Oryctolagus cuniculus: one gene and its partner. The protein of the gene in region 1 purifies or fractionates together with the protein of each later gene. This does not show direct contact. Links are inferred from orthologs where the notes say so. Each region holds a gene or a part of one and is shown in the gene's direction. Other genes may lie near its edges.

Region 1 (4,297 bases):
CTCCGAGTGGGGCTCCACAAACTCTGCTCGGTTGGCGGAGTGGCGTGGCAAAGGCAGGCCAAGTGGTCCCCAGCATCCCCCGTCTCTTGCAGGCCCAAGGAGGAGGTCACAGTGAAGAAGGAGAAGCGGGAGAGGGACCGAGAGCGGCAGCGGGAGTGGCATGGGCGGGGCCGGGGCCGCCCGGAAGTCATCCAGTCCCACTCCATCTTTGAGCAAGGCCCCGCTGAGATGATGAAGAAGAAAGGTACAAGGAAGGGGTCAGGAATGGAGGCGGGGCCAGAGCCACGGAGGCAGGCCGGAGCCACGGAGCGCCCGCTGCCGGCTAGCTGCTGAACAGGGTGGTTTCCCGCAGGGAGCTGGGATAAGACCGTGGATGTGTCGGATATGGGTCCCTCTCACATCATCAACATCAAGAAGGAGAAGAGGGAGACGGACGAGGAGACCAAGCAGATCCTGCGCATGCTGGAGAAAGACGACGTGGGTGCCGGGGCGGGGAGGGGGTTCGCTATTGCGGGGGCTGCCGGGGTGGGAGGAGCGAGGGGCAGCGGCCCGTGACCCCGCAGCTCTGCCTTGGCAGTTCATCGATGACCCTGGGCTGCGGAACGACACCCGGAACATGCCTGTGCAGCTGCCGCTGGCGCACTCGGGCTGGCTGTTTAAGGAGGAGAGCGAGGATCAGGATGTGAAGCCTTGGCTGGCCGGCCCCAAGGAGGAGGACATGGAGGTGGACGTGCCCTCTGTGAAAGGTATTCCGGTATCCCTCAGGCCAGGCCTGAGCTGCTCCTGGGTAGGCCCTGCCCCGTTCCACCTGTCGTATGTGTGAGCTGGACACCCGTACTATAAATATATTACTGTATACAAACCCTCTCGGAGGATTCCCGCGTTGACCTGCCCGGGGGCCACGCCTCCGACAACCCTGCCTAGCTCTTAGAGCTGCGCGTGCTCTCTCTCGCCCCTCACCGTTGTCAGTCTCCCCGTGGCTCCTCGCTGAGCGGTAGTGGGGTGGACAGGGCAATAGGTGGCATGGAGGCGCCCACTTCGTATCTCCTCTGTGTTTGTTACCCTGGGCAGTAAAAGAGGAGCCACGAGACGACGAGGAGGAGGCTAAGATGAAGGCTCCTCCCAGAGCGGCTAGGAGGACGCCAGGCCTCCCGAAAGACGTGTCTGTGGCAGAGCTGCTGAGGGAGCTGAGCCTCACCAAGGAGGAAGAACTGCTGTTCCTCCAGCTGCCGGACACGCTCCCCGGCCAGCCGCCCACCCAGGACGTCAAGCCCATCAAGACAGAGGTGCAGGGCGAGGACGGGCAGATGGTGGTCATCAAACAGGAGAAGGACCGGGTAGGCGTCCCGGGGAGCCCTGGGGGAGCCCGAGGTGGTGGGGTGAAGGCGTGCAGGTGCAGGCATGCACTCTCAGCACCTGCCAGAGCCTGGGCTTTGCACTGCCAGCCCCAAATCCGTGTACGTGCGCCTGCTTCCTAGAATGAACAGTTTCAAACATGCAGGCGTACTTGGAAAAATCCGTGGAAAGTGCACATTATGAAAAGCTGCACGGCTTTCAGGCTGTTTTGCACCACAGGAAGCCTCATTTTCCAGAGGGTTTTTTTTTTTTTTTTTTTTTTTTTAATTTATTTTATTTAGCTGAATGGCAGAGTTTTAGAGAGAGAGAGAGATCGAGATCTTCCATCTGCTGGTTCACTCCTCCAATGGCTGTGATGGTCAGGGCTGGGCCAGGCTGGAGTCATAAACTTCCTGCGGGTCTCCCACATGGGTGCAGGGGCCCAAGGGCTTGGGCCATCTTCTGCTGCTTTCCCAGGCCACAGCAGAGAGCTGGATCAGAAGTGGAGTAGCCGGGACTAGAACCAGCGCCCATGTGGGATGCCGTGGTTTCACCCACTGCACCGGAGCGCCAGCCTCTGCAGTCATTTTTACATCTTTTACAAGGGCAGAGACTCCTGTGTCCCATCCCTTAGCTGCAGCTGTTGTTGGTTTGTTTTAAAGATTTATTTATCTGAGAGAGTTGCAGAGAGAGAGAGAGAGAGAGAGAGAGAGATCTTTAGTCTGCTGGTTCATTCCCTAGGTGGCCACAGTGGCCACGGTTTGGCCTTGCTGAAGCCAGGAACTCCATCCAGGTCCCCATGTGGATGGCAGGGACCCAAGCACTTGGGCCACCTTCTACTGCTTTCCCGGGCCATTGGCAGGGAGCTGGATTGGAAGTGGAGCAGCCGGGACTTAAACTGGCGCCCCATGGGATGCCAGCATTGCAGGCAGCGGCTTTATGTACTATGCTACAGTGCCAGCCCCAGCTGTTGATGTTTTATACATTTGTTTTCTCTGTGTTTTGGCCATTTTTTTTTTTTATTTTTAAAGGTTTACTTATTTATTTGAAAAAATTAGAAGGAGACAGACAGAGATCGATCTTCTGTCTGTTGGTTCACTCCCCAGATGGCTGCAATGGCCTGGCCTGCGTTGGGCCAGGCCAAAGCCAGGAGCCAGGAAATTCATCTGGGTCTCCCATGTGAGTGCAGGGGCATAAGCACTTGGTCCGTCTTCCACTGCTTTCCCAGGGAGCTGGATTGGCAGTGGAGCAGCCAGGACTCAAACCGGCGCCCATATGGGATGCCAGCACCACATGCTGTGGCTTTACCCACTACGCCACAGTGCCGACCCCAGGTTTTGTCTTTTAACCGATGGCAGATTGCCCTTGGAAAAGGCCCTCTCTGGGGGCCTTACCCTGGTCTGGGCTGCCAGTGCCTTCCCCTGGGAGATTGGGGTTTGTTCCTGAAGGGTGGAGGAGAGAGCTCCTTGCCCAGTCTGCACCCCCTTCCTCTCTCCACAGGAAGCCAGGCAGGCAGAGAACACGTGTGCCCTGGCTGACCTCACGGAGGGGCAGGTTGGCAAATTGCTCATCCGCAGATCAGGGAAGGTGCAGCTCCTCCTGGGCAAGGTGACTCTGGACGTGACCATGGGGACCGCCTGCTCTTTCCTGCAGGTGAGCACCCTGTGCCGCAGGGAGAGGCGGGCAGGGCTCGAGCCCCGAGGAACGGGAGCCGCTGGCCAGGGACAGCTGGGGGTTCTCACCCCGTCTGTCGCTTGGCAGGAGCTGGTGTCCGTGGGCCTTGGAGACAGCAGGACGGGGGATCTGACGGTCCTGGGCCACGTGAAGCACAAGCTCGTCTGCTCCCCTGACTTCGAGTCCCTCTTGGATCACAAGCACCGCTGAGCAGCAGATGGAGGAAGCTGCGCCTGCCCACGGCTGCTGCCTGCCGCAGGCGTTTTGTTCTGGAGTCTGTGGCCCAGAGGGGGCTGTGTGGCCTGCCCACTCGGGCCTCTGGCAGCTGGCGCCCCACTTGCACCCCGGGGCCCCCGGGCTCCCTCCCGCAGTGTGGATGTGGCATATCCTTGCTGCTGGGGCCTAGTCCTTGCTATTTATTTTTGTATTTATATCTTAGCATCTGCAGCCAGCTGCGTCCCCGGTGAGGGTGTGGGGGAAGTACAGGCCCCTCCTCTCGATGCCTGCAGGGCCGGGGGAGGAGGGTGTGGAAAGGCCTGGCCTTTGCCCGTGCGCCCTCCCCCACGAGGCCGTGTGGGCGAGAGCAGAGGTGGAGTGTGGATGAGAGGACTCGTCCATTCCTAACCTTTCTGAACCTCACGTTCCTCATCGGACGGAAGTGGGGCTAGCACCTGCCTCGCGGGGTTGGCGTGAGGATCGAATGGAGCTCTCTAGGTGGCAGCTCCTTGCACACAGCCAGACGTGTACCTGGTGGGCGCTCAATAAATGTTTGTTTCCTCTTCCTTGCCTGAGTCTGTGTTTGTGCAACGTAGAGCTTGCCTGTCCCTCCAGTGACTAGAACCGCACACTCCCCACTTTTGTGCCTTCACTGTTTCTTTTAAAAATTTTTGCTTGTTTATGAGACAGACAGAGCTCCATCCGCTGTGTCACTCCCCAAATGCCCACAGCAGCTGGAGCTGAGCCGTGACCGCAGTCTGGGTCTCCCGCGCGTGTGGCAGGAACCTAATCACTTGAGCCATCCTGCCGCCTCTACCTCTCAGGGTGTGCGTTAGCAGGACGCGGAGTCAGGAGCCAGAGCCGGGGCCTGGACCTGGGCCCTGCGGTGCGGGATGCGAGGGTCTGGGCTGCTAGGCCGAACGCCTGCCCCTCTCTTCATCTTCCTCACCCTGGGTCCTGGCCCTTTTCCTGGTTACTCTTAGCCAAGTGCTTCCTGTGTGTTACCGGGCGAAGATGGCGTTGGAAGAATGGGAAGAAGTCCGGTTTCTCCCCACACCCTACACCTTGGGTG
Region 2 (4,133 bases), on another chromosome or scaffold:
GGGAGCCGGGAGTCGGCCAGGCTCCGCTCCTCCGGGAATCGCCGCCGCCGCAGTCGCGGGTTTCCCGGCAAGAAGCAAACTCTGGCCAAGACTTCACTTCTCAACCGCCCCTGCTGCCTTCCCGGGGGCGAGCGCCGGGCTGAGCGGCCCAACCCGACACGCTGCTGGGCCAATCGGCGGCGCCACAGGGCGGGGAGGGGGCGGATCAGAGGCGGATCCACCTATCAGAGAACGCAGGGGGCGGACCAGGAGGGGCCGTCATTCCTAGGTTAGAGTGAACCTACTCCGTCCCTCGCCCCTCGCCCTCCCCCACCCGCCTGGGGCTGTCCCCGCCGCTCGCCTGATTCCTCTGTGGAAGGCGCTCGGCAAGTGTGTGAGCGAGCGCCGGGCAGCCGCGGGGACAGCGGGACAGCTGAGCAGGGGACGCACGGAGCGGGGTGGGGGGAGGTCGAGGGGAACAGGTGGCGCGGGAGAGCAGGCGTGTAGGTGTGCTGGGCGAGAGGACAGCCGGGGTAGAGGGCAGCGACCGGGGCTGGCCGGCGTTAGAGAGGTTGCGGGAGCCGGGGGTGAGCAGCGGGGAGCAGCACTGAACACTCCCAGAGAGGAAGGGGCCGGAGAGGGAACCCCGCCGAGGAAAGGCTGCCGAAGCGGGGTAGGGGACGCCTGGGAACAAAGATGAGAGGGAGGTTCCCCGGGGGTGGGGTGCAGAAGGGGTAAAGAAAAGGGTGGAAGGGAGGTGCATGGCCGGGGGAAGGAAAGGACGGGGTGGGTGAGTGTGCTCCCAAACTCCCACTTCTCCCCTAAGGAAAACGGTAAACGCTTGTCCTGTGTCCCGGGGGAGATGCTTAGCTGCAAGAACCCCACTGAGTACTGTCTTGAAGCACCACGTTCTGTTAACGAGACTCAGCCCCTCCTATTTAAGGACGGTATAGCCCAAGCCTGCGGTCCCACAAGAGGTTGGATTCCCGGGAGGCCACAGGGTTCCAGTCGAGTCTAGCAGGCCGGACTTGGGTCCCAAGAAGGGAGGTGATGTGGGGGCGGCAGGTAAGGCCCTGCCCCCTTCGCCACCAGTTGGGGAGACGGTACCAAAGGTGGAGCTCGGGCGCACGCACTGTGACCGGGGCCTCCGGGTGCGACGCCAGCGGGCCCTCCGCCGCCCTCCTCCCGGCTCGCCCCGCACGCCGCCAGGCTGGGGGCGCGCCAGGTGAGCGGCTCGGGCCCGGCGCCACCGCCCTCCTCGCGCCGGGGGCGGGGCCGGGGGCGGAGCCTCCACGTCCCGCCCAGCGCCCGGACCCTGCCGCGCCGCTGCGGCTCCTCCTCCCTCCTTCCGTCGCCGCCTTCTTCCGTCCGTCGTTCCTTCCTTCCTGCCTCAGCCGCTCAGCTCGCGGCATGGGGCAGAGCCTCCGATCGGCCAGCACCACCTGAGGATCCTGGAACCGGCACCCGCGATGGAGGACGACCAAGAGCTGGAGAGGTAACGGCCGAGAAGGCGGGCGGGGCGGGCGGAGTAGGCCGCGCCCAGGCAGGGGAGCGGGCGGTACCGGGCACGCGGCCCGGCCCGGGCCTAACCTCCGCGGCCCTGCAGAGCAGCAGGGGCCCGACCCGGGACGCTGAGAGAGGGAACAGGGCCCGACGGGGAGGAGAAGGGAGGAGTCGTGGATGTGTTTGAATAGAGGCGCTCCGAGGGACAGTAGTTCTCGAGGAGGGCGGACCAGTTGGCAGAGCAGAGTTGGGTCCCGAAACTGCCCAACCCCGTTAGAACAGCGGCGTATTCAGTCCGGCTTAAGCCCCCCCGTCACTACCGCTCTCCCTCCTCCTCCGTGCAGACTGTTAGCCGTGTAGCCCTGCCTCAAAGCGCTGAGTTCTGTTTCTCCCTCCCGCTGTACTGTTTCAGCTCTTACCGTTTCCTAGCTTCCTTACCTCTTGCAAGTGGAAGCCATAGTTGGGCCTGCACATTGATAATCTGTAGTCTCTGTTTATATGCTGGAGCAATCTTGTGTTTTTCTACACCTTCAACTCCCTTTTCCTCTTCCAGCAGGGCTCACCCTATGCTATATCCCTTTCTTGTGACTCTTCCAAAAGAAATGTCTTTGCAGACACTTAAGTGTATGTTTTTCTAAGAAGATGCTCCGTGTGGCCCACGTGGATAGTTAATGGAGCAGGGAGAAACTGGAGTCAGCAAATTAAATATTCATTGGTAGAAGTGGTGGAGGCAGAAAAGAGAGAGGCTGACAGTTCTGTGTGTAATTGCTGTGGATTAGAGTAATGATGTGTGGCAATTGTGATATAGTAAATGAAAAAAAAAGCTAGTTACAATATTCAGTATGATCTCACTTTTATAAAAAATATGTGTGTAGAAAAATGTCTGGATTGAAGACCTCAATGGCCGAAGGCGAGAGGAAGACAGCCCTGGAAATGGTCCAGGCAGCTGGAACAGATAGACACTGTGTGACATTTGTTTTGCACGAGGAGGACCATACCCTAGGAAATTCTCTGCGTTACATGATTATGAAGAACCCGGAAGTGGAATTTTGTGGTTACACTACGACCCATCCTTCAGAGAGCAAAATTAATTTGCGCATTCAGACTCGAGGTGCTCTTCCAGCTGTTGAGCCATTTCAGAGAGGGCTGAATGAGCTCATGAATGTCTGCCAACATGTGCTTGACAAGTTTGAGGCCAGCATAAAGCACTATAAGGATCAAAAAGCAAGCAGAAGTGAATCCACATTCTAGTCCCTTGTGCAGGATACAAGGAGGACTAATCTCTGGGATACTCTTCTTCATGATTGTGCAGAACCCAGAATTAGAAGTTTGTGATTACAACAACCTGCTCTATCTTTCCAAAAAAAAAAAAAAAAAATGGTTCTAGCTGTTGACCCATTCATCACAGCTGTTGGAATCCCCGCAAGAACCTGTGTATTCTCCTAATAAATTCCCTCTTTTATTGAAACTATTTTTGAGTGGTTTCTGTTCCTTGCAACATCCTCAAGGATGACTTTATTTGCTTGCAGTAGAGCCAACATTTAAAGTGATAAAACAGAGCATCAGGCACCCAAAATAGTGGTTTCATCATGGGAATCAAAAGGAGTATACATTCCTGACTAGGATTGGGGTGGTGAGGCAAAGAGGAGATGGAATAGACCATTACGCAGATAGACTGGTGGGTTTCAAAAAGAAAGAAGGTCAGGATGTGGACTTGGCTTCTTAGATATTTTACTGATGAGAAAGTTGTATCCTTTTCTCTTAGGGGATTGGGTAAGGTTAGGGAATAATTTGAAAGAATTTTGAGAATTCTGGTTTCACATGAGGGTCTCAGGAGTTATCCAGCTCCATCTTTGTACCATCTATAGAATAATTGTTTACTGCCTGAGGAGAAACCTGGAATGAGCAAATTACATTTTTAGTCTAAGTAGGTATCCAACTGTAGCCTAGGGTCATATAGAAGAAACACTATTTGAGAGAAAGGACACAGAGGGAAAATACCATGTGGAGAAAATGACTTGGAAAACTTGAAATATTAGTGAAATCACATCCAAGAGCCATTGTATCTGTCTACATCTTCAACATCTTTCATACCAGTCATACCAGAACTTCCTTCTTCAATTATCCTAAATACCTGTCAACCCTAGAGCCTGAGCACTCCCATATCCCAATGCACTGTGCTTTGGGGCCTTAGTTGATCCTATTTATTCGTGTGATCCTGGGACCTAGCACAACACTGGACAGCAGGTGGACACTTAGTAAATATGAGATGAATCCCTGTAGGTAGTTATGGCATGTTAGCTTTTCAGTAACTCTTAGTTGAGCTGCCCTAGAGCCTCTTTAAAGATATTTATTTATAGAGCTTCTGGTTTGTACCTTGGGGATAGGTATAATAGTGAGACACAATAAGTGTTGCATAAGAGAAACAATATTTTTAAAAAGTTGTAATTCTGGGGAAGAAAATACAATATCAAGATAGAAAGCATGAGAGAGAATTTTGCTTTAGGTATGGAAGTCAGGGAAGCTCTTCCCAAGATTACAGGAAGAGAAGGCTCTCATGATGGAAATTAACATTGTGAGGGAATAGCATGTACAGAGGCCCTGAAGCAGAAAACTAGTGGTCTGGGAAACTGAAGGTATTGAAGGAAGAT

What was found. Proteins that work in one complex are often made in the same cells at the same time.
Region 2: the proteins of POLR3D (region 1) and POLR1D purify together in Homo sapiens (affinity purification with mass spectrometry; 6 studies listed by BioGRID and IntAct, counting the BioPlex papers as one, with this or other methods). This does not show direct contact. The link is inferred for Oryctolagus cuniculus from reciprocal best matches to the Homo sapiens genes POLR3D and POLR1D.

What each region holds. Positions count from the first base shown.
Region 1 is NC_091439.1:1,075,017-1,079,313, reverse strand, and holds the end of POLR3D (DNA-directed RNA polymerase III subunit RPC4), read left to right. Parts: intron 1-92; coding exon 93-244; intron 245-352; coding exon 353-477; intron 478-577; coding exon 578-746; intron 747-1,071; coding exon 1,072-1,337; intron 1,338-2,835; coding exon 2,836-2,988; intron 2,989-3,096; coding exon 3,097-3,219; 3' UTR 3,220-3,791; downstream 3,792-4,297. UniProt on the Homo sapiens protein: DNA-dependent RNA polymerase catalyzes the transcription of DNA into RNA using the four ribonucleoside triphosphates as substrates.
Region 2 is NC_091440.1:86,895,459-86,899,591, reverse strand, and holds the start of POLR1D (protein POLR1D), read left to right. Parts: upstream 1-1,295; 5' UTR 1,296-1,448; coding exon 1,449-1,474; intron 1,475-4,133.